Sus scrofa: one gene and its partners. The protein of the gene in region 1 purifies or fractionates together with the protein of each later gene. This does not show direct contact. Links are inferred from orthologs where the notes say so. Each region holds a gene or a part of one and is shown in the gene's direction. Other genes may lie near its edges.

Evidence for each region.
Region 2: the proteins of KAT5 (region 1) and ACTL6A purify together in Homo sapiens (affinity purification with mass spectrometry; 6 studies listed by BioGRID and IntAct, with this or other methods). This does not show direct contact. The link is inferred for Sus scrofa from reciprocal best matches to the Homo sapiens genes KAT5 and ACTL6A.
Region 3: the proteins of KAT5 (region 1) and EPC2 purify together in Homo sapiens (affinity purification with mass spectrometry; 3 studies listed by BioGRID and IntAct, counting the BioPlex papers as one, with this or other methods). This does not show direct contact. The link is inferred for Sus scrofa from reciprocal best matches to the Homo sapiens genes KAT5 and EPC2.
Region 4: the proteins of KAT5 (region 1) and SIRT1 purify together in Homo sapiens (affinity purification with western blotting; 3 studies listed by BioGRID). This does not show direct contact. The link is inferred for Sus scrofa from reciprocal best matches to the Homo sapiens genes KAT5 and SIRT1.
Region 5: the proteins of KAT5 (region 1) and MAX purify together in Homo sapiens (affinity purification with mass spectrometry; 3 studies listed by BioGRID and IntAct, with this or other methods). This does not show direct contact. The link is inferred for Sus scrofa from reciprocal best matches to the Homo sapiens genes KAT5 and MAX.
Region 6: the proteins of KAT5 (region 1) and ATM purify together in Homo sapiens (affinity purification with western blotting; 3 studies listed by BioGRID). This does not show direct contact. The link is inferred for Sus scrofa from reciprocal best matches to the Homo sapiens genes KAT5 and ATM.
Region 7: the proteins of KAT5 (region 1) and MRGBP purify together in Homo sapiens (co-immunoprecipitation; 8 studies listed by BioGRID and IntAct, counting the BioPlex papers as one, with this or other methods). This does not show direct contact. The link is inferred for Sus scrofa from reciprocal best matches to the Homo sapiens genes KAT5 and MRGBP.

What each region holds. Positions count from the first base shown.
Region 1 is NC_010444.4:6,563,830-6,566,524, reverse strand, and holds the end of KAT5 (histone acetyltransferase KAT5), read left to right. Parts: intron 1-1,187; coding exon 1,188-1,347; intron 1,348-1,470; coding exon 1,471-1,552; intron 1,553-1,644; coding exon 1,645-1,779; 3' UTR 1,780-2,195; downstream 2,196-2,695. Other genes in the region: RNASEH2C (ribonuclease H2 subunit C), read right to left, coding at 2,344-2,370, 2,612-2,695. UniProt on the Homo sapiens protein: Catalytic subunit of the NuA4 histone acetyltransferase complex, a multiprotein complex involved in transcriptional activation of select genes principally by acetylation of nucleosomal histones H2A and H4.
Region 2 is NC_010455.5:117,608,415-117,611,914, forward strand, and holds part of ACTL6A (actin-like protein 6A), read left to right. Parts: intron 1-2,527; coding exon 2,528-2,628; intron 2,629-3,500.
Region 3 is NC_010457.5:3,523,424-3,527,476, reverse strand, and holds the start of EPC2 (enhancer of polycomb homolog 2), read left to right. Parts: upstream 1-1,253; 5' UTR 1,254-1,584; coding exon 1,585-1,737; intron 1,738-1,827; exon of another isoform or gene 1,828-2,218; intron 2,219-4,053. UniProt on the Homo sapiens protein: May play a role in transcription or DNA repair.
Region 4 is NC_010456.5:71,115,167-71,118,666, forward strand, and holds part of SIRT1 (NAD-dependent protein deacetylase sirtuin-1), read left to right. Parts: intron 1-1,291; coding exon 1,292-1,852; intron 1,853-3,500. UniProt on the Homo sapiens protein: NAD-dependent protein deacetylase that links transcriptional regulation directly to intracellular energetics and participates in the coordination of several separated cellular functions such as cell cycle, response to DNA damage, metabolism, apoptosis and autophagy.
Region 5 is NC_010449.5:89,165,466-89,169,580, reverse strand, and holds the start of MAX (protein max), read left to right. Parts: upstream 1-1,315; 5' UTR 1,316-1,627; coding exon 1,628-1,663; intron 1,664-1,833; exon of another isoform or gene 1,834-1,982; intron 1,983-2,407; coding exon 2,408-2,434; intron 2,435-4,115. UniProt on the Homo sapiens protein: Transcription regulator. Forms a sequence-specific DNA-binding protein complex with MYC or MAD which recognizes the core sequence 5'-CAC[GA]TG-3'. The MYC:MAX complex is a transcriptional activator, whereas the MAD:MAX complex is a repressor.
Region 6 is NC_010451.4:36,619,291-36,623,563, forward strand, and holds the start of ATM (serine-protein kinase ATM), read left to right. Parts: upstream 1-1,473; 5' UTR 1,474-1,615; intron 1,616-1,874; 5' UTR 1,875-2,594; intron 2,595-4,273. Other genes in the region: protein NPAT, read right to left, coding at 985-1,021.
Region 7 is NC_010459.5:62,057,130-62,061,200, forward strand, and holds the start of MRGBP (MRG/MORF4L-binding protein), read left to right. Parts: upstream 1-1,271; 5' UTR 1,272-1,336; coding exon 1,337-1,484; intron 1,485-1,924; coding exon 1,925-2,046; intron 2,047-4,071.

The sequences.
Region 1 (2,695 bases):
TCACATCCTTAGGAAGCCCTCAGCCTGGTAGAACAGGCAGAGCTGAAAGAAACAGGCAGAGCTGAAAGAAACTCAGTCTAAACCTCGGGGCTCAGACCTCAGGGGAGATGGGATGTGGGCAGAGCCGTGAAGGAGCTGTGCCGAGTTGTGCCCAGTTGGAGCACACAGGGACACCAGAAGCCCCATTCCAGGCAGCTCCAGAGGGTGGGTGGGTGCTCCCGGGGCGGGGGGGGGGGGGCTTCCTGCAGCTCCGGAGAGGCGTGGCTTCCCCACTGAGCCATCAGGACCCTCTGTGCAGAGGGTGAGAACTCTGTGTGCCCCTTTGCTCTGCAGACACCAGCCTCTCTGTCCTCCCCAACAGGCTGCATGATGGAAGCCACAGGAAGCTGGGCAAGGGGCTCAGACTGGCAGAGAAAGATGTATTGGAGAGAAAGCCCAGGGGGCCGTCATCCACCCAAGGCTGGTTCTGGCTGAGGGTGAAGAAGGGCTTCTAGAAGTAGTGGACATCTCAGGGCCTCTGTCCAAGAGCTGTGAAGCCACTTGCAGTTTCACAGGCCTCAGGGTCTCACCAGGAACCGCCTGCCAGTGCCCAGTGGTCAGCAGGGTAGAGGAGGAGGGTGGAGCCGTCAGAGTGGGAGGGAAGGGTGGCAGGAGGGCAGTCCCCTGGCGAGGACTGGCCTCCCTGCCTGGGGGAGCGCTTTGCCGCTCCCCTCCTTCCTTCCTCACAACCACCAGTCAGGCCAGCCTGGTCTTAGGGCAGCTGATGCTTCTCAGGAACTGACTTGACTTGAGAATCCAAGCGTCCCCTCAGGCCCGGACCAGAGGTGGGGCCTGCCCACTTCTCTCCTCACACGTCCAGGCTGAGTCTAGCATGACAGAGGAAAGCTGGAGCCACTTTCTTTCCACAAGCCACTTCCTCTGTACTCCCCCACCCCAGCTGTAAGCCCTCGCTGGCTCTTAGGTGATTGGACCTGAACCTCTCAGCACACAGCGGAAGAGTATGGTCACTGGTCCTCTGTTAGGAACTGAGGCACAGAACAGACAAGCCATGCATCCAGGCCACAGAACCACCACCTGGCAGGCCCAGGGTGGGAGCCAGGCAGTCTCCCTCTGCAGCCTGTGCTCTTAACAGAGGGTGGCAAAACGCTGGGATCGCTCACCCACCCTCTCCTGCTCCATTGCTTTAGGCTATGAACTCTCCAAAGTGGAAGGGAAAACAGGGACCCCTGAGAAGCCCCTCTCGGACCTTGGCCTCCTATCCTACCGAAGCTACTGGTCCCAGACCATTCTGGAGATCTTGATGGGGCTGAAGTCGGAGAGCGGGGAGAGGCCGCAGATCACCATCAAGTGAGCCTGGCCCTGCCTACCTAGGGGTGCATGGCATATTCCTGGGCTTTCTCACTCCTCGGGCCCTTGGGAGCCTGGGGCAGAGATGAAGCCCCGGGAAACCTGGTCTTTGCCCCTCCACAGTGAGATCAGTGAAATCACCAGCATCAAGAAGGAGGACGTCATCTCCACTCTACAGTACCTCAACCTCATCAACTACTACAAGGTAGGGAGGCAGGCAGGGGAGACAGGTGTGTGCAGGGGAGCAGCGTGCAAGCCCTGCTCGGGCTGACCTGCCTGGCCCCGTCTCCCGTCCAGGGCCAGTATATCCTCACACTGTCGGAGGACATCGTGGACGGGCATGAACGGGCTATGCTCAAGCGGCTTCTTCGGATCGACTCCAAGTGTCTGCACTTCACTCCCAAGGACTGGAGCAAGAGGGGAAAGTGGTGACCAGGCACTGCCCATTAGCAGTGCCGGCAAAGCCAGCAGAACTGGGGCTGACAGCCTATCCCGCCCCCACTGGGGTCTCCAAGAGGCACAGCAAGGGGAGACAGGGCTGAGGACAGCTCCACAGGGAGAGGACAGGCCTGGTAAAGGCCAGCTGGTGCCTAGCACCAAGGAGAGCTCAGGGCTCAGGTCAACTCCAAGGTCAGCTGGCTGCAGGCCCAGGCCTGCTGTGAACCAGGGACCAGAGGGAGCCAGGCAGCTGTGTACAGTGAGATAGGGGGTGGGGTGCTCTGTACAGGGGGCTGGTGGCTGTACAATTTTCTTTTGTAAAGTAGGAATGGGGGGGAGGTACTGGCTGCAAAATTCTGGCCTCTTTTGCCCCACTGCCCCCTGGCAATAAACTGTTTCTATGGGCCAGAGCCATGAAAGGTTCTTGTGGGAGAAGACAGCACTGGCACACTCACAGGTTCTGTGAAGAGCGCCTTTATTGGGGTGACGAAGGCTCCCAAAGTGAAGGGGTTCACTGGAGTGAAGGGATCAGTGGCTTTCAGTTTCAAGGTCTGGTTTTCAGTCCTCTGGTACCTGGGCGTGAATCTGCAACAGGAGGAAATCATCCCTACTATCGGATTGCTGCAGTATAGTGACTAGCTGGCCCAGATACTCAGGGCAGAGATCCAACTGCTCAGAATCATAGACAGGACAGGGAAGAGTGGTGGGAGGCCATGCTGCCCCAGTGTTTTCCCCAGCCCCAAAGCCCCAAGTCCACTCAAGGGCAAGATTCAGCAAACAACTCTGAAGGGGAGCCTGGGAGGGAAGGGCCCATCCATCCACTCACCGCTGCAGCAAGGCTGGGCCAGGTTAGGGCCCCACGCACTTTGGAATCCGGACCAGGGATAGTCTCCAGGCCCCACAGGGTGAA
Region 2 (3,500 bases), on another chromosome or scaffold:
AACTCAGCATATAATTGTATTCACGGCTAAGGTTTATTATGCTGAAAGGATACAAAGCAAAATTGACAAAGGGAAAAAAAGGGGCATGTAGTGAAGTCCAGAAGAAACTAGTGCAGGCTTCCAGGAGCTTATAGTGAAGTTGTAAAGGATGTGCTTAATTCCTTCAGCTACCAGAAACGTGTGTGTGTGGTCTATTAGAGGAGCTTAAAAAAAGGCTCAATACCCTATTTCACACTCACAAAGATGGCCATATTATAAAGACAGACAATAGCAAGTGTGATGAAGTTATAGAGAAACTAAAACTCTGTATCTATTTCTAAGAGAAAACATAAAATGGTGTAGTGGCTGTGGCTTTGGAAAATAATTTTGACAGTTTCTTAATGGGTTAAACAGTTCCACTCCTAGGTACCAATACAAGAGAAATTAAAACATATCTCTGTACCAATACCTCTATGCAAATGTTCATACAGCATTATCCATATCAGCAGACAAAAAGTGAAAATAGCCCAAATATATAAGATGTGGTATATCCATAAGATGAAGTACTGTTTGGCAATAAAAAAAAATGAAATAACTGATGTAAGCTAAAATAAAACTCCACATAATGAAATAATGTAATGTAATAAGAAATGATCAGAATGAAATAATGTAATGTAATAAGAAATGATCAGAGGAGTTCCCGTCGTGGCTCAGTGGTTAACGATCCAACTAGGAACCATGAGGTTGCAGGTTCGATCCCTGACCTTGCTCAGTGGGTTAAGGATCCGGCGTTGCCGTGAGCTGTGGTGTAGGTTGCAGACACGGCTCGGATCTCGTGTTGCTGTGGCTCTGGCATAGGCCGGTGGCTATAGCTCCGATTGGACCCCTAGCCTGGGAACCTCCATATGCCTCAGGAGCGGCCCAAGAAATGGCAAAAAGACCAAAAAAAAAAAAAAAAATCAGAAAAAGCTAATCTCTATAGACAGAGTAGTGGTTGCTTGGGGCTGTGGATAGAGTAGGAAGTGACTGCAAAAGGGCGTGAAGTTTGGGAGGGATGGAAATATTCTAATATTGGATGGTAATAATATTCACACAACTTTGTAGATTTACAAAAGAAAATCATTTAATTGTAAAGCTTATAATGTATCCATGTCATGGTAAATTATACTTCTATAGGGCTGTTTAAAAAAAAAGGTGTAAGGACATTGTTGCAAATATTTTTTCTTATATCATCTTGATACTTGGAATAAGTGATTCTTTTCTATTAAAAAAAAAAAGATTCAGTATCTATGGTTTTTATTTGGTTTGGTCATATAGGTATCTATACCTAACATGTACCAAAATCCCAGACTCTCAGAAGGAAATAAGGTGTTCACATTGTTTGTATAAATAGTTTAGGCAGAGTGAGCTACTCTTATTTAGGGAACATTTATATCAATGTAGGGAACTGTTTACCAGCCAAATTCCTAGGGGGCAGCCAAGGGTCAGCCTTGCAAGCAGGCCTTACTCAGGTCTGCTAAGTTAACAGCAAGTAAATGAGTTTGTTGTTAGTTCCAAGTGTTTGAACATAAGTGCTATTCTAGTAAGCAGGTGAGAAAGATTTTAAGACATGGATTGCGTTATCCAGAAAAGAGTTTGGGATATGAGAAGAGAATTAAGGGTGGGATTCTTTCTGAAAACTTATTATATATTTAACCAATAGAGCTGCCTGTGAAGGAGAATGAAAAGGATTGGTTAGTGAAGTAGGAAAAAATTCAGGAGAAGGCCAAGAGAAGAAAATGTTCTAGAAGTATAGAAAGAAGTGCAGTGATTCTCATTGTTCTCTGCTATGCCGTTGAGATTTACACTAAAGGGAAAGAGAAGTTAAAACTACTAAGGAATTCCATTTACCAAAAAACCCCATCCTGATAGACTTGTAGAAGTATGTTGTACAAGTAATGACATTTCTTCAATGTTCTGTGGCAAGAAAAGTGTAAACTCTGGAATCAATAGTGTCAGTTAATTTAAAGAGGTCAGATGAGATTACAAATGTGAAGAATCCACTGGATTTGCCGTTAGAAGCTTATTAGCAGTTTATTAGCAGTTTACGCAAGCAGTTTCAATGGAATGTTTAAGTGGAGTCCAAATTGAAAACATACTATTTTCTAAATTTTTAAAATGTCTTTTCATCTTTTTTTTTGTAGAGTATACTTTTTGAATGTTAGGTCTAGATCATAACAGTTCTTTGTTTCCCTTACCATTCCAATTGCATATTGGGCCTCTAATAAGTACTTACTGAGTAATATTTATCTGGTATTTTATGTCTATTTAATACATTAATTACATCTGGGACAAGTCTGGGGATTGTAATACTTTGGGGGCTGGAGAAACCATATCTAGAAAACAAAGATAATGTCAATATAAAGTACTGTTCTATGAAGAAGATCTGTAAAATAAGCAGGTTCTGTATATTAAAAGTATTAGAAGCTAAATCATTAGAAACAATCTCTCAAAATATGCTGTATTCTTCAACTAGCATTGTTTTCAAGGTATTACTCTCATATTCTAGTTGAAGATTGGGATAGTTTCCAGGCTATTTTGGATCATACCTACAAAATGCATGTCAAGTCAGAAGCCAGCCTACATCCTGTTCTAATGTCAGAAGCACCGGTAAGACAAAGACTTTCTCAAGTTTCTCTGGGTTGTTTTCTACTCATTTGAAGACTGTTTCCTTTTTCTTTAAAGAGACGGAGACGTCCATATTTTAAATTTTGGAAATTAGGGAAAGGGGGATTAATTTCTAAATACTCTTATGTAACTTTTATTATTTCACTAACTAAAATACTCGAAAAAGAATTATGAAGTACCCTAGTAGGGTTATTTATCTGTCTTTTTCTGTGAATTTAACATATGATTTCCTTGCGCTGCTTCCCATTTTGGTTCATGAATTATCCCTTATCGCTCAAGGGCAGTGTATATCTGCTTTTGTACTCCAGTCTCCAGGAGAGAGGTCAGTGTTAAACTAGGGTTAGAAGTTGCTAGACCGGAGTTCCCGTCATGGCTCAGTGGTTAACGAATCCGACTAGGAACCGTGAGGTTGTGGGTTTGGAGTTCGGTTCCTGGCCTTGCTCAGTGGGTTAAGGATCCGGAATTGCCTTGAGCTGTGGTGTAGGTCGCAGACGCGGCTCGGATCTCGCATTGCCTTGGCTCTGGCATAGGCTGGCGGCTACAGCTCTGATCCGACCCTACCCCGGGAACCTCCATATGCTGCGGGAGCGGCCCAAGAAATGGCAAAAAGACAAAAAAAAAAAAAAGAAGTCGGTAGACCAAAGTCTCTTGTGAAAGACATTTGGTACAGAGTCAAAAGGGCCCAGAAGACTAGCATAATTACTATAAATTATCAATATTTTGTTATTGTTTTCTAACCTTGTTTCTTTTATGAGTACTGGGTATAAGTGGAAGGATTTGATGGTTTACAATGCATATTTAAGATTTTGTTGACTAAGTCTAATTTTAAGATTTAATAATATTTCATGTTTATA
Region 3 (4,053 bases), on another chromosome or scaffold:
TATTAGAAAATGACAAAATGTGTTATACTCTTCCCAGGGATTTTTGTAGGAAAACTGTGATGCTTAAAGTCTAACTAAGGAACTCTTGGCTAAATGAAGTTGATATCAACAATCGCTGCCAAATAAATTTGAGTCAACTGGATTTTACCTCCTCTTTAGAACTTTCTCTAACCGGTTCAGGCTAAAGTAGTCTCCTTTCTCTGAACTCTCATGGCAACTATGGCCTGTATGACTCATTTGGTAATTAAGCATGTTCTACTGCCTTGTGTCATTGCCTATGTAGTTTTCTTCAAGTTATAAACTTTTTTTCTTTTGGCTGTCATTTACTTTTCAGTTGCCCTGTTCTTCAACTATTTACATCTCTTACTGTTACTCATCTTTTTAACCGTTCTGTCATCCCATCAAAGTGAAAGCTGCACGAGGACAGGAACTTTTCCTCAAACCTCTTGGCATCTTCCACAGCATCCAATATTTTACACGGATCTATCACTCTGGAAATGTTCTCTGCCTTGGTTAAAAATTATAAGCTTAATATTTTTGAAATCAGAAATATCATCCATTAAATAACTCTGAAGTTTTGGTGACAGGTTCAAGTGCACTTGTTGCATCTGGCAGCCTCAAACATTAACCCTCACTGCTGCCATTAGCATCCTCTCAGCGAAAGCGAGGATGCCTTACCTTGGAGAGCTCTTTCGGCCAGGTACCAAAAAAAAAAAAAAAAAAAAAGATGCGGGAAGAGGGCCGGGATTGCGGAGGCGTTCTCGGGGCAGACGAGACCCGACAGGTCTGCGCCCCTCGGAGCGGACGGAAGGAATGGACCTTTCGCACCTCCCAGGGATGCGCGATTTGGAGGATGAGAATTAGCTGGCGCTGTGGAGGTAAGTGCTGTGTAAGTACAGGCTCAGTGGGGCAGCTGTGGCTCGGTTGACATCTTCCCTTTCCCGCTCACAGACTTCTGCACACACGGGCTGCTCAGCGCGGCTGTGTTTTGCCCGGCGCCGTCCTCCGGGGCACCCAACTAGCTGGGTGTCGGGGCCGCGGAGGCAGAGGCGCACGCTCGGGGGCGCGGGTTAACTTGCGCACCTGACACCTGCCACACGGCTAGAGCGCCGGCAGCGGAGCAGAGGGCCGCTGCCGCCCCCCTACCCGGAGCGGCCCGAGGCTGAGCACGCTCCCGCGGGCCGGCAGCGCCGCGGAGAGAGTGGGTGGGCAGGCGAGGGAGGGGAAGGAGGGAGGGAGGGAGAGGGCGAGGCGCGTTCCCGCGGCGGGGGCGCGCTCTCGCGCGGGCTGCCGGGATCGCTCGCCGCCGCTGTGGTAATGTCCGCCATGTTGGCCATGGCGCAGGGAGCGGATCGGGCGGGCGAGCGGCGGATCTAGTGTGTGGAAGCGGCCGCGGGCGGCGGGGGGCTGTTTTCGGGCGGGGTGGGCGCCCATGCTGTGGCCGGGGGCAGTGAGGAGGAGGAGGAGGAGCGGGCCGGCCGCGCTGCACTGAGGAAGGTGGTGGAGGAGGCGGCGGGAGTCCTCCCCCCCTCCCCGCCCGCCCCGCCGCCGCCGCCCGGGCTGTTCCTGTAAGGCGGGGAGACAATGAGTAAACTCTCCTTCCGAGCGCGGGCGCTGGACGCCGCCAAACCGCTGCCTATCTACCGCGGCAAGGACATGCCTGATCTCAACGACTGCGTCTCCATCAACCGGGCCGTGCCCCAGATGCCCACCGGGATGGAGAAGGAGGAGGAATCGGTAGGGACTCGAGTGTTTATTACCCCCCCTTCCCTCCTCCCCCCTCCCCTTTGTCAGTCGGGCCTCGCCATTCACAGAGCGCTTTACGCTCGCTGGAGGGCGCCGCTGCCGCTCCAACGCTTGGGACCTTACGCCGGCGGAGTAGCGTAAACCCTCTCGGCCGGCGCAGCGCCCGCCCGCGGCCGCCATGTTGTTGCGTCCCAGTGTTGTGATTAGCTCGCAGCGCCGCTTACGCTGCCGTAAGGGGGCCTTGCCGTAAGCGGCGGCCCGGAATGGCGCAGGGGATGTTCTGGCCGCACTTGACGTACGGCCTCTGTTTACCTTTTTTGTCCCCCTGGAGTGGGATTATTTAATCCGCAGGGGATGCTTTGGCTAGGCAACGTTTTTCCCCCACTTTTGGATTCAGCCTTGCATTGGGTTCTTTTTGAAATGACTTGTGGAAAGTAAAACGCTTTCAAAACATCGTCTTCCTCTTAGCAAGGTAATTCTCGCACCCCGGCCCGCGTTGGTGCAGCAGGATTGAGGTGGTGCAGCACTGCGGCCGGGGAGGCTGAGGGCCACGACCACTAGGAGGATGTAACGTTAGAAGCCGCTGACCGGCTAGCTCCGGGCCCAGAGCGAGTCGGTTCTGCCTGCCTAGCCCGGACGGTGCCTGCTTAGTGTGAGGCTTTAGAAAGGGACTGGCGATGTTAGGCAACTAGCTGCCGATGCTCCACAGTCCTCGCCCCGCGTCCCTGAAAAATTGCCATGGGGGGGTGTTTTAGAAGTTGAGGACCTATTGCATCCATATTGACAGCTGCATTTTTATTAATAGCAGCAATTTGGGGCAAAAATGTTTTTTCTCCCTGATGCGTTAAATTTTGGATATGGTTGAATTTCCTCTGGCTTGACAGTGTTTATGACTCGAGTGGTGCTACTTGTGTGCGAAGTTCATAGTAACTGCACCCTCAAGAATTTCTTCAATGAACCTGTGGTCCCGCCTTATTGTCAACCTCGGGTGTGCGTGGATTGGTTCTCTTGCTTCTGTGACTGTCAAAAGAAGGCCCAAGGTTTCTGTGATTGGTTTTCTCTTATGACTATTAATATTGCAGGAAATGCTTTAATGCCTTTGATTGGTTGCTCCAGTTGTGACCTCATTATATTACCCTGTTATTACTACTTCTGCTGTGATTTAACCACATTCTTCGTTAATGTTTGATTACTTGAAAGCCTTGCACTTTCCGTAGAAAAGGAATATGTTCTCAGTGTCAAATGAATATTCAACTTAAAAAATAAACAAAATGAAAACCCAACATTTATGCTGAAGATTTTAGAGCTAAATCATATGTGGAAATTCTTTTTGTTTTTAAATAAAATTTATTTCTAGCTTAGGTCAGTTTTCCATGAAAAAGATAATTAAAATAAGGAAGTTATAGCACGTTCGAGAATTAAGTTAATTGAACTTTAAAAAACACAGCTTTGGATTCCACGAAGTTGTATTTCTGTTAATATGTCCCTGAAAGAAAAAGTGGCAAATGAGTCTCGAAGTATCAATACTGTATGTAGTTACTTGGATCCTATTACTTGGGTTTGGGAAGAACTTGAATTAAAAACCTTATTCTAGAATGAATAGTTAGCCCCTGAAATATATATTACTTTTTTTTTTTTTTTTTTTTTTTTTTTTTTTTGCCTTTTTCTAGGGCCTCTCCTGCCGCATATGGAGGTTCCCAGGCTAGGGGTCTAATTGGAGCTGTAGCTGCCGGCCTATGCCAGAGCCACAGCAACAGGGGATCTGAGATGCGTCTGTGACCTACACCAAGCTCCCGCCAATGTGGGATCCTCAACCCACTGAGCGAGGCCATGGATTGAACCGGCAACCTCATGGTTCCTAGTCGTATTCATTAACCACTGAGCGATGATGGGAACTCCTGTGAATGCATATTACTTTCTGCAGACAGTGATCAGCTATGTACTTATGTATTGTTTTAGGCCCTTAGGTATGTCTTGGCATTTTATCTTAATTTAGTAAGAAAACTTGTGGTTTAGTTACTTTTTAAATGATGCAATAAAAATAAATGCTTCCCCTTTATAATTCTGTATTATTAACCTTTTCAGTCTAGAGCATGAGTGCTGATTTGCATTATTTTCAGGAGCCTGCTTCACCTGCCCAATTTTAGGAAGAAATCCAAATTCTGATAGAACTAGAGTTAAAACTCAGGCTTTCTGACTTTTTGTCCTGTCCTTTCCATGTCTTTAATGTTGCAAGTGAAGGTTCTTAAAAGTCAATCTAAAACTAAACAAACCCTGGCAGTATTTATAGTCTAGAGTCTTTTGCCT
Region 4 (3,500 bases), on another chromosome or scaffold:
TTGGTAAGAAGATGAGTCCTTGTCATAATCATGATATGTGCATCAGCTGTATCCACAAGGGTGTTGATGTGCATGCAAATGCTCAGATACAATTTTAAGTTCCTATTACGCTTGCAAATATTTATTACTTTTTTAGGGCCACACCTATGGCATATGGAAGTTCCCAGGCTAGGGGTTGAATCAGAGCTGCAGCTGCCAGCCTACACCATAGTCACAGCAACACCAGATCCGATTCGTGTCTGTTACTTAGACCACAGCTTTTGGCAACACCGGATCCTTAACCCACTGAGTGGGACCAGGGATCAGACCCACATCCTCATGGATACTAGTTGGGTTCATTACCACTGAGCCACAGTGAGAACTCCCTCATGAATATTTCTTTAACCCATGTTCTATAGTGTACCTTTTTTCTCTCTCTAGTGAGCAAGCAAGTGGGAGAGAGAAAAGGGACTAATTCAGTAGCGTCACTTGTGCCCTAAAAATGAGCGAAGGAGAACAGAGGCGAGAATATCAAAACCCTTAGCTAGATAATTAAATTAGACCCCCACACCAGCAAATAGGCAGCCAGAATGCTGGAAGAGACAGAGTAAAATTCTCCAATTCTTTATCCTAACCTACGTGTAGTGGCTTTAGCAGTTTAACTCAGTCTTCCCTAAACAGCTGTTAAATTCTGTTAAAGTAGACTATAGAACAATTTATAACTAAAAGGAAAAAAAAAGGAAAAATGAGCTTCTTTATTTTTGAAGGTTTTTTCCCTCTTTAAAGGTAAGGCAGAGAACTTTTTTTTTCTGCTTTTTAGGGCCACACCCGCGGCATATGGAGGTTCCCAGGCTAGGGGTCTACTCGCAGCTGGTCTACACCAGAGCCACAGCAACGCAGGATCTGAGCCAAGTCTGCAGCCTATGCCTCAGCTCACGGCAACACCAGATCCTTAACCCACTGAGAGAGACTAGGGATTGAACCCGAAACTTATGGTTCCTAGTCGGATTCGTTTCTGCTGCTCCACGATGGGAACTCCAGGCAGAGTATTTCTTAAAAGTTTTCTGTGGGGTAGCAAAATGTGTTGGTACAGAATGGAAAAGTTGGAAGTGATTGCCCAGACGATGGAGCAGAACTTGAAATTTTCAAAGATGCTTGATAGCTTGATATGTAATGGCTTGGTTAAATATTGTAGGTGGGTGTCTTTTTTCGGTATTGAGCATTTTAGATTTTTACATAGTGCATTTGTTGTGGTTTTATTAGTGTACCTCCTTTCCTTTCTCTAACTCTTACTTTTTCACCCTATTTTTAGGTTCCATACCCCATGAAGTGCCTCAGATATTAATTAATAGGGAACCTTTGCCTCACCTGCATTTTGATGTAGAGCTTCTTGGAGACTGTGATGTCATTATTAATGAATTGTGTCATAGGTTAGGAGGTGAATATGCCAAGCTTTGCTGCAACCCTGTAAAGCTTTCAGAAATTACTGAAAAGCCTCCACGAACACAAAAAGAGTTGGCTCACTTGTCAGAATTACCACCCACACCTCTTAATATTTCAGAAGGCTCTAGTTCACCAGAAAGAACTTCACCACCAGCTTCTTCAGTGACTCTCCCTCTTTTAGACCAAGCAACAAAGAGTAATGTTGATGATCTAGATGTGTCTGAGTCAAAAGACTGTGTTGAAGAGAAATCACAGGAAGTACAGACTTCTAGGAGCATTGAAAGTGTTAAAGAACCGATGGAGAGTCCAGGTTTGAAGAATGTTGCCTGCAGTAATGGAGAGAAAAATGAAAGAACTTCAGTTGCCGAAACAGTAAGAAAATGCTGGCCAGCTAGACTTGCAAAGGAGCAGATTAGTAAACGGCTTGATGGTAAGAAAGGCTGTTGAACCATTCTGAAAGTATAATTATTGTTACAAAATATTTGTGAGAATGAGCAATTGTGGCAGGTTAGGGTAAGTTTATGCAGCTAAATGTAATAGTTGTGTTTAGAGAAACTGTAACATTGATAATTTAAGCTAGAAAAAGAAACATGGGTATCTTATTTAAACATGGGGAAGAAATGTGTGAAAGTGTGCGCTGTACCTTGTGTTTGTCTAGGAATAAGGCGGTAAGCTTTAAGTTGGGAAATACTGAGGGCTTTGCCATTATCTGGTGAGAGCTTTATAGCTGGTAGCAGTGATTTGAGATTGGGGTGCTTATTGTGGGTCAGTGCCTTTACATTTCCTATTTTAATCTTGTGAGATAGGAACCATTACTTCTCTGGTACAGGTGGGAAATCAAGGACCATTCAGGTAACAGCTGCGGAAGAACCAGGTTTGGTTTCAGGTTCTCTTAACCATTATGTGCTATCTCAGATCTAGAAAACATCTGATTCTTCTGAGCATCATAAATAGCATCTGCCCTTTTTTGTTGGCACACCAATTAGTATTAACAAAGGTGAAATCACTTACTGCTTTTTGAAACCACTTACACCCAAGTATCATCAATGGCAGAAACAGCAGAAATTGTGCTCTTAGATGCAGGTTATACAGCTTAAAACCTTAAGTCTGTTCCATTTACCATACATGGTGAAAACTGAAAATTTTCTTTTTCCTTTTCATGTTCACAGCTGTGGCATATTGGAAGTTCTCAGGCTATGGGTTGAATCAGAGCTGCAGCTGAGACATAGGCCGCAGCCATACTGGATCCTTAACCCACTGAGGGAGGCCAGGGATCAAACCTGCATGCATCCTCACAGACACTATGTCAGGTTCTTAGCCCACTGAGCCAAAATGGGAACTCCATGGCAAGAAATTTCAGGCAATATATATATTACGTGTTCTAATCATAGCTGTAAATAAATTTTAGTTCAGTTGAATAAGCCTCTGCGCATATTCTTTACCAGGCATTGTAGCTGTAGCAAGTTCTGCAGATACTGATCAAGCTACTGATGTTTGAGTGTAATTACAAATACAGGTGAACAAGGGAGTTCCCACTGTGGCTCAGTGGTAACGAATCTGACTAGTGACCATGAGGATGTGGGTTCAATCCCTGGCCTCAATCAGTGGATTAAGTATCCAGTGTTGCCATGAGTTCTGGTATAGGTCAAAGACATGGCTTGGATTTGACCCCTACCTGGGGCTGCAGATGGCAGCCCTGAAAGTCAGGGGAAAAAAGTGAGAAGTTTCCCTTGTGGCATTGAAGCTGTGGCACAGGTCACAGCTGGAATGTTGCTGCGGGTGCAGCCAAAAAAAAAGAGAAAAAAATAGGTGGTATTTAAAAAGGTAGATGCTACTTGGAGGGGACTAGGTTCTAGAAGGTTTTCTAAAAAGCCTAAAAGTTCTGGGAGTTCCCTTCGAGGCTCAGCAGTAATGAACCTGACTAGTATCCAGGAGGACATGGGTTCAGTCCCTGGCCTTGCTTAGAGGGATAAGGATCCAGCGTTGCCATGAGCTGTGGTGTAGGTCACAAAAGTGGCTCGGGTGTGGCTGTGTCGTAGGCCATCAGCTACAGTGCCCATTCAGTTCCTAGCCCAGCA
Region 5 (4,115 bases), on another chromosome or scaffold:
GTAAAGTGTGGTTCAGTTACTTTTTCTTAGTAGTAGTATTTTTCTTCCGGTGGTACTTGATGAACATACTCTTAAATTGGCAGCAGGGCAGTCTCGTTTTTGTTTCCACAACTGTGGGCTTCATGAAGATGGGTAACGTTCAGGTCTTATACATTATGGCATTCTTGTGCTGGCATATGTTAGGTGTTCAATAAATATTGGGGAAATAGCTATGATCATACCGCATGCAGCAGTTTTTGTTTTTTTGTTGTTGCTGGTTTTTTTTTTTTTTTTTTTTTGGTCTTTTTGCTATTTCTTGGGCCGCTCCCGCGGCATATGGAGGTTCCCAGGCTAGGGGTCGAATCAGAGCTGTAGCTGCCAGCCTAGCCAGAGCCACAGCAACGCGGGATCCGAGCCGCGTCTGCAACCTACACCACAGCCCACAGCAACGCCGGATCGTTAACCCACTGAGCAAGGCCAGGTATCGAACCTGCAACCTCATGGTTCCTAGTCGGATTCGTTAACCACTGCGCCACGACTAAAACTCCCGCATACAGCAGTTTTTAAGTGGGATTTTAAGTGGATAGAGAGCTGTTTCTCATTTGATATACTGATTATGCTACTCTGAACTGGGGCACTTCTTAAACTGCTTAGACTACAACCAATTCAGAAGGCGTTTTTATTTCCACGTAAGCAGTTGTTGAGGGTCAGGATCTGGGAATGTACAAGCCTCACTTGAGTAGCAAAATGGTCACTCCAGGGTGAATGAATACAAGAGTCTCGTGGGAATGGTCCCTCAGCTAGGCCGGTCATCCTGCCTGTCCAGTAACACTAACACCTGCCATTGACACCTCTTCGCTACCAGATCCCCAGGGTCCACGTGAGCATCCGCAGCCGCGCCCCCTAGTCCCCCGCAGCAGGATCCCACAGCAGACGGGTTACGCCCCAGAGCACAACACAGAGCGACTCAGAGGTCTAGAAAACAAAGTAAAACCAGTCGCATCAAGGAGAGACAGCGTTATTTCGGCAACCGGCTACTCGTCCACAGCCTCCACCCTGTCCCCTGGGCCAGGCGCCCAGACAGTGCCCGGCTCCAGGAGTCCCAGCTCCCTCCACGTGTCCTGTCTTCCCAGCAGCCACCTCTGCTGCCTCTGTAGGAAAATCTCCTGACAACTCGCGGTCTGCGGACTACGACTCCCGGCAGGCATCGCGCCGCTCCTCTCTCCACTCCCCCCTGCTCCACCGGACACGCAGGCGCTCTGGGCTCCGTCAACAAGTCGGGCTGGGAATGACTGGATGCAGTTCTTTATGGGATTTGTAGTTTCTCTGGAGCTAGCCGGGCCATCATTCAAAGGGATATGAACTACAAGTCTCGGCGGCCCCAGCGTGACGAGCTTGGTCACGTGGCAGGGGGCCGACCGGGCGTGCGTGCCGCCGTTGATCCGGTGCTGCAGTGAGGAGGTGGTTCTCGCCCGTGTTGTGTGTGTGTGTGTGTGTGTGTGAGTGTGTGTGTGAGTGAGAGAGCGAGTGAGTGAGTGTGTGTGTGTGTGTGGAGATTCGGCTTGTTGTTGTCGGTGACTTCCCCCTCCCCTCCACCCCTCCCCCTTCCCTGCCGCCGCTGCAGTGGCCGCTCCCTGGGCCGTAGGAAATGAGCGATAACGATGACATCGAGGTGGAGAGCGACGTGAGTCCTGGGGCTTCTTCCTTCCCTTGCGAGTTGTCAGGCGGGGACAGCGGCCGGGATTTTCAGCAGGGCGACTGCGGCAGGGGGCCGGGCAGCTGCCGCCTCTCCCCTTCCCCCACCCCCACCCCCCGGGCTGGGACCGCCTCCGTCGCGCTCCCCGCTCGCTCCCCTCCGGGCTCCTGGCCGGAGCGGCCTTCTGGGTCTGGAGGTGGGGAGGAGACACGCGGCCTCTGGGACCCCCACCTCCCCCCGTGGGGGAAGGTGCTGCCGTCTCCTACTCTCTCTCTGGCTGGCTCAGGATCCGGGACATAGGGACAGGGTGCGCTCGGGATCCCATTGTCCGGATTCTGGGGAAGGGGACGGCGTTCGGGACCTGCCCCTTAGGCCCACGGCCCCCTCCTCCCTTGACTGGCGGATCCTGGGGGGTGAGGGAGGGCAGAGAGGGTTTGGGAGTGCCCAGAAGTCCTGAGCTGGGTGCAAGGGGAGGAGACAGTGCTGTGGACCCCCTCTCGCCCGGTTCGGATCCCGGAAGGAGGGGTGGCGCTCGGACCCCCCCCCGCCCCCCTACCGGATCCAGCTGGGGAGGAGGGATGGGGGCGTGGGGTGGGAAGGGAGGGAGGGGGAGGTAAGGCTTACTCCCCACCCGCCGCTTCCTCTGCCGCCGGCATTTTCTTTCTTATTATTGAATGTGAAGTGTAAAAATAACTTCTATATTTTCTATTTTTTTTTTCTCTCTTATTCCAGGAAGAGCAACCGAGGTTTCAATCTGCGGTACGTCTCCTACTCTCCATTTCATTTTCATTTCCGTTCAGTTCTAGTCCTTTTTGGGGTTAGAGAGAAAAAGAGTTCTGTTGCTTTTAATATTGTAGTAAACTCTCCTGTTAACCGCTAAGGTGAGGTGGGGCCTTGTCCTGGGGTTGTAGGTGGTGGTGGGGGGCGGGTTTGTAAATCTCATAATTCTAGATTCTCAGGTGATAAGTTCCAGTGGCTGTAGGTGAGTGAGAGAAGCTGTATGCAGGGAAATGAATCTTTCTGTAGTGTTTAGATGAGAGTTCTAGCTGTCACTATTTAAATGGGGAATGAGAAATGCACCATGTTGAAGTAAATTGTACTCTTTCAGGAAGAAGTGGTCAGATTTATTTAAGAACAGTAGGTTCTAAACTATCTGAATAGTTGTGTGAAGTTGAAGCCACATGGAGAAATCACCTTTAACCAAAAGTCATGTGACTTCTGTAAACCTATGGAATCTAGCACAATTTGGTATTACTTTAATGCAGAAATTGGAACTGTAGAGGAGCCAAAGGTTGAATGTGACCGTGTCATATTCAGCAGCTTATTACGGTCTGACTGTATTTGAGTCGAAGGAGCAGTATAAAGAAGGTAGAATTGTTGAAGAAAAGTGGCATTGCAGAGTGAAGTTTGCTAGGAAGTGGTGGTTGAGACTGTAAAGTGTTATCAATGATTTCTCAGAGTTTTGATATTAATGTTTTCCATAAGTGGTTCTATGGATTAGGATAGACATAATCTCATGTCTTTGGAGTATGGGATAGTACTGTGGGTGTTCCATGAATAGATCAGAGGAGGAAAAAAATCAAAGGGGAAGAGAAATGAGTATATCATAGTGTCTAATATTTGACAGATGGGAACAGTAGGAAGTGTATAGAATGGGGGTCAAAAGTTTAGATGTCTCTAGGGAGCCCTGGCAGTGAGATAGTCAGGAATTGAGGGCACAGGTGAGGACTGGGGTACTAGAGAGCCCATGCCTCTCCTAAAAAGGTGGCCAGTCCAGTGGGATTGAGGACTCAGTATTGCCTTATCTTTCTATTTTAAAAGAAATTTTAGAAATCTGGATTATAATGTTCTTCTGATTTTCAAAATAACGTTTGGGACAACCAAGTTGTTCAGGAGCTTGTTAGAATTGCCACATTCTGCTTGGAGACCTCTGATCTAAGAATTTAATTCTCACAGAATAAAAGCAAGCCCTCTAACTTATACCTGCTATTCTTTAGAGCAGAGATTCTGAGGTTGTCTAAGCAGTTATCCATTTAGAAAAAATTATCGAGAGCCGTTATTTTCATAAAATCAAAGAATGCAGTTGTCCCAGGGGTCTTAAAATTATCCCTGGTAATAGTCACTAAAAAAGAATTTGTTTTATTTTTTCCTTGAAGGATTTGAAGGTAATATTTTGAATGTATGAAGTATTGTCAAATACTTCATATTTATACATATTTTGGAAAATTAAGGTCTTTTTCAGTTATTGCCTTCCTTATTAATGTGACTATGGAATTTCATGTTTGGAACCCAGTCTATTTGAAACATTTTTTTTTCCCTGAAAGTCTCCAGTTATAAAATCTGCCCTAGGGCTGGATGAGGATTGGAGGATAGGAATTATTTAGGCTTCCTTTGCAGAATCATTATTTAAATTGGAATTATATTAGCTTTCCAGTGAGAC
Region 6 (4,273 bases), on another chromosome or scaffold:
AACAGATTACCCTCTAATGTTTTCTGTAAAATGTACTTATCAGAAACCTGTGCACGAAAGCCACTGGAGGGGAGGGGCAGGGCTGAGTTCTTTAAAAAGTAGCAAGAAATGGGATTTTGTGACAATAAAGTAATGGCTGTAGATTCCATGGGAAGTTTCATTACAGATGTTTACCATTTACATACGATGCCTGTAAATCACTGGCTCGAGTTTTAAGCTTTATGTGGCTTTCATTCCTAGCAGTACAATCCTCTATTCTTTCAGACGACAAATAACAAAACCCGTTTCCCATACAATGTACCCTGACAACTGGCCGTGGAACTAAACTGTTTTCAAAATGAGGAAAAACTAACTAGGACTAGAAATGTTCAAATGGAAGGCATTTCCCCTGTGAAAATTCTTGTTAATTAAAAGAACCCGAGCTGCTGCCGTCAGAAAGTATGCAATTAGCGTTTCAAACCTCTACACTGGACGACTTCTTGCGGAGGGACGGGATAAGGAAGGAAGATCACCCATTCGTCCCAAATTCGCAGTTCTAAGGGCGAGTTACGAGAAGGGCGTCAGGAATGTCTTTCTACAAAGCTGGGGGGAGGGGGCTGGGGGAAGTCCCTCTCTTTCCTACTTTGGTCCCAATTCTGACAAAGTGCAGTGTGCCAAGGTGAAGCCGTCGGTGCATCACGTAGCAGCTTCCCGGCAGGGTCCTAATTAAGTGTAGGCCTGACTTTCCCTCCAATCCCGGCTTCAGGTGTTCCACTCCGGGCTTCCTTCAGCCTCTCCTCATCACGCAACCTCGAAGGAGAGGAGTGTCCACACACAAAGCCCGAACCGCCCGAGCCCCCGGCTGAAGAACCACCGCCAGCCTGAACTCGGAGACGGGGAGGCAAAGCCCCAGAGCTTCCCTCCCTGGGGAAACCTTTGGCCCCGAGGGTCCTTCCGTCCAGCTCAGCCCGGTCCGGTCTCCCTCTCTACCGCGTCAACGCTTACCCAATACCAGCCGGGCTACGTCCGAGGGTAGCAGCATGATCCAAGCCGCAGGAGTACCCGCAGTGAGAGACGAGACTCAGGTAAAAGCCAACAGCGACGGCTCCTGCGCCGCATCTCCCGGTCCCGGTGGCGGCACTGAACCCCGCTGCAATTTGTCCCGCCTCTTTTGCTCCACGCCAGCCAATCGCTTCCGCGGGAGAAAGAAAGGCGCCGAAATGAAACCCGCCTCCGTTCTCCCTGGCACTGACGTCATTTCCGTGCTCACGTTTGGCGGGTGGGGTCAAGGGGGCGAGGAGGCGGGGCGCGAGCGTTGGAGACCAAGCCGCAGGGAGAGCGTGGCTGCAGGGTCGCATGCCATTGGCAGACAGTGCGCAGGCGCGTTCCCTTCCGAGCCCGGTGTTTTGGGAGAGTGTTTGGTGTCCGGCGCGCGTGGGCGGACCGTACCCGAACGCTCCGCACCTCTACCGCTTCCGCCCGGGACGCACGCTGCGTGGCCACGCTGAGTTTGGTCGGAAGCGGGATCAGTGCGTGGACAGGTGGCTCGGGCTGCTGCTGGGAGTGGAGCGGGGATTTGGTCTGCGGCTACGCCGCCACCAGGGATTCCACTTGGTTGTCCAGTCCAGCCGTCTTGGTGCGTAAGCCGTGTAGTGGCGTCTGCGTTGGGGAATTAAGATGCCTCCGGGCCGCTCTGTCCCAGCCCCCATATGCGCCCCTTTACTCCTCTCCCCACCTCATCTTGACGGGACTCTGGTACTCATTGCTTTCTCCAGCTCTCTTTTCGTGCCTCTGGTGGACTTAGCCTTGAACCTTCCTGTGCGTCCCCTGCCTCTGTGCCCAGAAATTAACTAGATGGCTTAACTAATCATCTTTTTCTCCCCTGTCATAATTAGTAGTTTAAGTCAACGAGTGATTCGTTGAGGCTTAAACTGAAGTTTCGTGGTTAAGAGCTTGGGCTCTGGAATCACACTCCCGGAGTTGGGGTTCTGTCAGCTGGCTGTGTGATCTCGCTGTACCATCTATCTCGTCATCATCCTATCCTGTGTCACCACTCAAGAGTGTTTGCTGTTTTTTACCAGGTACAGAGAAGTAAAAAGACTGTTACAATTCAGAGTGATAATGTGATAGAAGAACATTGTGATGGAAGAGGAGTGAATGAAGTTCTGTGGAAACGGCCTGGGAGAATCAGTTTCAGTTTGCAGTGAGATTTCAGTGTTAAACTGCCCTGGAGGGAGGTGGGAGCCTTACAGACAGAAGGGTAAATGCATATGAAGGCATAACGTGTGGAAGGTTCCTGAAGCTCTAGGGAGAGCCTCACAGAGAACATTACCCGATATTCTGTGGTAATCTATGTTGGAAAAGAAATGGAAAGAGAATGGATGTGTGTACATGTATAACTGAATCACTTTGCAGTACAGCAGAAGTTACCACAACATGTGAATCAACTGTCCTTCCATAAAACTTTAAAAAATGGAAAAAAAGGAGAAGAGAGAGGTCCTGCATGTAATGAAGTACATTTGGGCATTTTCAACATGTTGAACATATGCTCTTACTGGGATATGGTCTTAACTGGGAGAAAATTGAGAAGCAAGGAGACAAGGATATTCTTTCAGGTGTGGGTGGAAAAAGAACCATTAAAAGAGATGCGAAACAGAAAAGAAGGGAATAATGATAATTGCTGATATTTATTGAGCATTTGCTATGTCCCAGGCAGTGTGTTAAACATGTACATCAATCTTTAAAGTAACTTTGAAGTTCTAGTTCAATTCTAATGTGGTTTTTCATTTTATCATTGAGAAAACTGAGGTTTAGAGAGATTAGCTAGTTGGAGTTCCTGTCGTGGCACAGCGGAAATGAATCAGGCTAGGAACCATGGAGTTGTGGATTTGATCCCTGGCCTTGCTCAGTGAGTTAAGGATCCAGCATTGCTGTGGGCTGTGGTGTAGGTTGCAGATGCAGCTTGGATCCTGCATTGCTGTGGCTCTGGCCTAGGCTGGCAGCAATAGCTCCTATTAGACCCCTAGCCTGGGAACCTCCATATGCCGTGGATGTGGCCCTAAAAAGACAAAAAAAAAAAAAAAAGAGAGAGAGATTAGCTAACTGCCCAAGTTACATAGTTTGTAAGTGCAGGACCAGGGTATGAACTAGTGCAGTCTGACTACAAAGCCCACACTCTTAGCATTAGAAAAAAATGGCATGGTGGTCTTTTGTGCTGCAGCGGGTTAAGGATCTGGCATTGTCACTGCAGTGGCTGTATTGCCACTGTGGCTTAGGTTTGATCTCTGGCCTGGGAACTTCCACATGCCACAGGCACGGCTCCCCAAAAAAAGATGGCGTGCTAAGGGCAGAATTAGATCCAGAAAGATATGGTATAAGCATCATTGTCAAATTCTGCAAAGGGATCATTTTGGTTGAGATCTGAAAAGGAACAATGGATTTGCCAATTCAGAGGGTGTTACTTAGGAAATATGTGTTATACCACTTGCATCTTGGAAGTGGAGCCTAGATGTATTAATTGGATTAATGTATTAATTGAATTCAATTTTACCTGATGATACTCTTACTCTAGCTAACTACTGTCTTACTCTAGCTAACTACTGTCTTGTTCCTTTAGTTGTCTTTCATTTCCTCCAACATTGCAGTTTTCCATTTTAGAGCTCGCTGGCTGTGTTTCTCCTCTAAGATGTTGGTTCTCTCGCTCTTTCTGTGCCTGGCACCAGTTTATTCAGATCTTTTAACCCCCTGTAATATGTGTTCCTTAATAGGTTATAAAAAATGATCCTCTACATTGGTATTTTATTTCATTTGTCTTTTCAGGGCCTCATCTGTGGCATATGGAAGTTCCCAGACTAGGGGTTGAATCAGAGCTGCAGCTGCTGGCCTACACCACAGCCACAGCAATGGGGCATCCAAGTCGTGTCTGTGACCCACTCCACAGTTCATGGCAATGCTGAATTATTAACCCACTGATCAATGCCAGAGATCGAACCCACATCCTCATGGATACTGGTTGGGTTCATTACCACTAAGTCACAGTGGGAACTTTGCTATCCATTGATATTATATATTTTCTTCCTATGAGACATATATCACAATTTGGCATTAGGCATTGATTTATAAGTGCACTTTTTATTGTCACTCTCTCCCACTAATTATAACTCCAGGAGAGTAGGGTTTGTGTCTATTTAGTTCATTATATGTCTAGCTACCTCTAACACAGTACTTGGAACACCGTAGTTTCCCAGTAAAAGTCGTTGTGTGTATCAGTTAATGAACATCTCTTGTTTATATA
Region 7 (4,071 bases), on another chromosome or scaffold:
GTTCCCTTTGTGGCTCAGCGGTTAATGAACCCAACTAGGATCCATGAGGATGCGGGTTTGATCCCTGGCCTCACTCAGTGGGTTAAGGATCCGGCGTTGCCATGAGCTGTGGTATCTAGGTTGCAGATGCAGCTCACACCCGCTGTGGTGTAGGCTGGCAGCTACAGCTCTGATTCGACCCCTAGCCTGGGAACTTCCATACGCCGCAGGTGCAGCCCTAAAAAAAAGCAAATAATAATAATAATGGAATCACAACGTCCAGCCATAACATGGCTCACAGGACGGCCGGCTCTGCTGACCGCGTCTTCCCACCTTGTGGGCACCAGCATGGGAAGCCGGGACTCAGGCTCTGAGTCCACCGGGAGGTGACTGGCTGGCCAGAGCCCACACGGCCAAGGGGCAGCGCTCACCGCTGTGGCTCCAAATGTCTGCTAAGACGCCCGAGCCTGTGCTGGGGCACCCAGAAACCAAGCCCCATCAGTAACCCCACTGCACGGAGGAGGAAGCTTAGGCCTGAAGAGGTCCAGCACCTTGCAGCGCTCACAGAACTAGCAGGTCGCGGAGCCGGAAGAGGACCCGGAAGCCCGACGCGGGAGTCTACACCCGGGAGGTGAAGAGCGCTCGCGCGTTGGGCAAGAGCCCTGGCACCGCGGTGGGCGTGGCCTAGCGGAGAGGGGCGGGGGGAGCCGCGAGGGCGGGGCCGGGCCGGGCCGGGGCGGAGCCGGCGGCCTCCATTGGGTGCTTCTTTGAGTTCGTCACAGGACTGCCAGGCCAGACTCCGCCCAGGCCCCGCCCCTCCGTGGGGGTTAACCCCGCCCCCTCCGGCCTGGGCCCTCCTGCCCTTTAGGCTGAGGCCCGCGGTCAAGGCGCGGGGCCCAGACGCCTCTGCCCCGGCGCGCGGGGGCCGCTCTGTTCCACACTCAGGCCAGAGGTCAGCCAGGGGCTTTTGAAGCCCTTGGAGCCACACTCGCGGGCATTGTCAGTTGCCTGTTCTTTTTCTTCCTAGCAGCTTTACTGAGGTGTAACTTGCAATTCCTCCATTTAAAGCGCACAGTTCTGCGGGGTTTACCCAGAGCTGTGCAGCCATCGCCACAACTTAATTTAGGGCGTTTACATCCTCAGTCCCTCTCATCCTCCTCAGGCTCCGACGGCGCTGCGCTGAGAGACCTGGCCGCCAGGGGGCGCCGCGACCCCGCCCTCAGCTGCGCCTGCGCCGACTCCGCGCGCGAACCCCAGAGCGAGCCCGCCGAGCGCGCGCCCGCCCCGCGAGTGCGCCTGCGCGGAGCCCGTGGCCGCGCCCGCTCCCGCCGGGGGCTCGTCGCTGGGCGGCCGGGCCATGGGGGAGGCCGAGGTGGGCGGCGGTGGCGCGGCGGGCGACAAGGGGCCCGGGGAGGCAGCCACCAGCCCGGCCGAGGAGACGGTCGTGTGGAGCCCCGAGGTGGAGGTGTGCCTCTTCCACGCCATGCTGGGCCACAAGCCCGTCGGTGAGCGGAGCGCCGCGCCGAGGCCGCGCACCCGCGTGGGGGCGGGGCGGCCGGCAACGGCCGGGGGCGCGCGCGGGGCGGGCGGGGCGGGGCCTCCTGCGCCTGCACCCCTGCACACCCTGCCCCCACCTGCTCGCCCCTCCCCGGCCTGCTCCTTGCAGTCCCCTCCCCCGCTCGACTTTGCCCCCTCCCGCCCCCACCCCCCCACGCCGGCCGACCCCTGCCTTCACCTGCACCCCTGCCCCCTTTGCTCCTCCCCCACTGACCCCTACCTCTTCCTCTCCCCCCTTGTACCTGCCACCAACCCCATTCTACCCCCGCGCCCTCCAAGCACTGCCCCCGTCTCCCCCTGCGCCTTCTCCCCTCTCTTCCCCTTGACCCCCACGTCTGTTCTCCAAACTACCTGTCTGCCCCCACGGGCTGACCCTTTCCCCCTGCAGGTGTGAACCGGCACTTCCACATGATCTGTATCCGGGACAAGTTCAGCCAGAACATCGGCCGGCAAGTGCCCTCCAAGGTCATCTGGGACCACCTGAGCACCATGTACGACATGCAGGCACTGGTGAGCTGGCCCCCACCCTCCCCCAGACAGGTGGTGGCCGAGAGCCCCCTCCGTGCGCCTCCCTGCGTCTACACCAGGCCCTGTCCTCAGGGAACTTGACGTCTGGGCTGCCCCGCAGGGGACCAGTTGTTCAACAAGGTAGCTCCGAGCAGTTTTACAGAAAACACAAACCTAGTGACGGTAGCTGGTTATCACATGGCACCTACTTGCAATTGAGGGGTCAGTTAGGACCTGGCCAGGAGACGACTGAGGAGCTGAGGCCTGTGGGAGGGGCTCTGAGGCCATTGTCAGTCTTACAGAAAGTCCCAGAGTGCTGTAGGCAGGGAGGTGGCAGGGTCTGAGTCAGGTTAAGGTGACACTGGTGACTGCTGGTAGAACCAGGCAGGCAGGGACCCGGGCCTCACGGAACCCCCCCTGAGCCATGTCGTTAGCGGGGCAGATGAACTAGGGGAACAGGGTGGCCAAAGAGACCAGTGGCGTTCCCAGCAGAGGAGCGGCAGGTGTCAAGGCTCTGTGGCAGCAGGCGTTGGTGCATCAGAGGACGCAGAGGAGGCCAGGGTGTCTGGAGAGTGGGTGGGAGCCGGGTGGCAGGTGCCCGGTGAGGTGGGAGCCTGTGCTGGGTTAGGGAAGGCTCCATCTCCCCTCACGCCCCCAGGCGAGAATTGGTGCGTGTGGGCAAAGGGGGCAGCAGACCCCCAGCCGTCTGGGTCCAGAAACCTCACTGCCATTCCCTCCCTTTGGCCTTGGGCGTGGCACTCACATCTCGTCCTGGTGTAGGGAGGAGAGAAAGGTGACCACTGTGTCCTGGGACCAGCGCCTGGCCTGCAGTAGGCATTCTAGAAACTCGAGAACTGGCCGCTAAACTACACCAGGCCCACCCAAAGGGCCATGCCTGCTGGTCAGGGCCTTGCCCTCCGTGAGTTCCCGGGTTCCACAGCTTGACTGGGCTCGCATACCTGTCACACTGTGAGGTCACCTGGCCCCCAGGCACGTCCTGAGCCCTGACTGCTGGCTGGACCCAGAGATCAGAGTGGCAGGGTCCCCGACCTGGGGGAGGCAGATGGTTCTTAGGCACGCTGCTGGCCCAGAGGATCCCATGGCTGTGACCCCAGCACAGGGCCCACGTGACACTCAGGGAACTGCAGCGGGGGCACCCAGGGCTTTCAGCCCGGGACAGTGGCCCTTCTCTCTTTTCCTCGCACCCTAGCATGGCTGTGGGGCTGACGTCACGGTCACCTGGGGCCTTGAACCCCACCCGCAAGGTGCCGTGGGCGCAGGAACCCTCGGGTTTTGAAGCTCCTCGATGCCGATCAGCACGTTTACACGCTGACCGCCTGGTGATGAGCACGGCTCCCGAGTGTCTCCTGATCGCCCCCAACCCTGAGTCCCTCCTGCCAGCTAAGCTCTCCCTTCGTCCCATGGGCTGCGTCTCCACCGTCTCTGTCCGGTCCGGCAGGTGCGAGCTGCCAGCCAGGTGGAACACGCTGAGCATCGGCGGTGCCTGCTCCCCTGCACTCACCTGCTTCCCACCCCGGTGGCCCGCCCACATGGGTGAGACGGGAGCCCCATGGCCTTTCTGCAGGGTTGTCACGGCCCTCGGATCGCGTGCTCCCGGAGCCTGCACAGCCGGGCCAGGCCTGCGGGACAGCTGCAGCCTGATTCTGGCCCTGCAGGTGTGCCAGCAGACTGGGCACCCTGGCCCCATCTCAGGTGACAGTCAACCCAGAGTCTTCCCTCTCGTGACTGATGCTGGTGGCTCATGCTGTGGTTTTGCCTTGTCTGGCTCCGTGTGACAAGCCCAGCCCCTCGTAAACCGTAGAAGAGAAAGAAACGGCCTCGGCCCCCTCCACCTGCCCACTGCAGCCTCGAGACCGTTACCTGTGTTTGTTGTTTGCTCCTGAATTTAAAAGTCACGTTTAAGAGCTCCCTGGTAGCTCAGTGGGTTGGGGATCGGGTGTTGTCACTGCAGCGGCTCGGGTTGCTGCTTTGGCTCGGGTTTGATCCCTGGCTCAGGAGCTTGTGTGC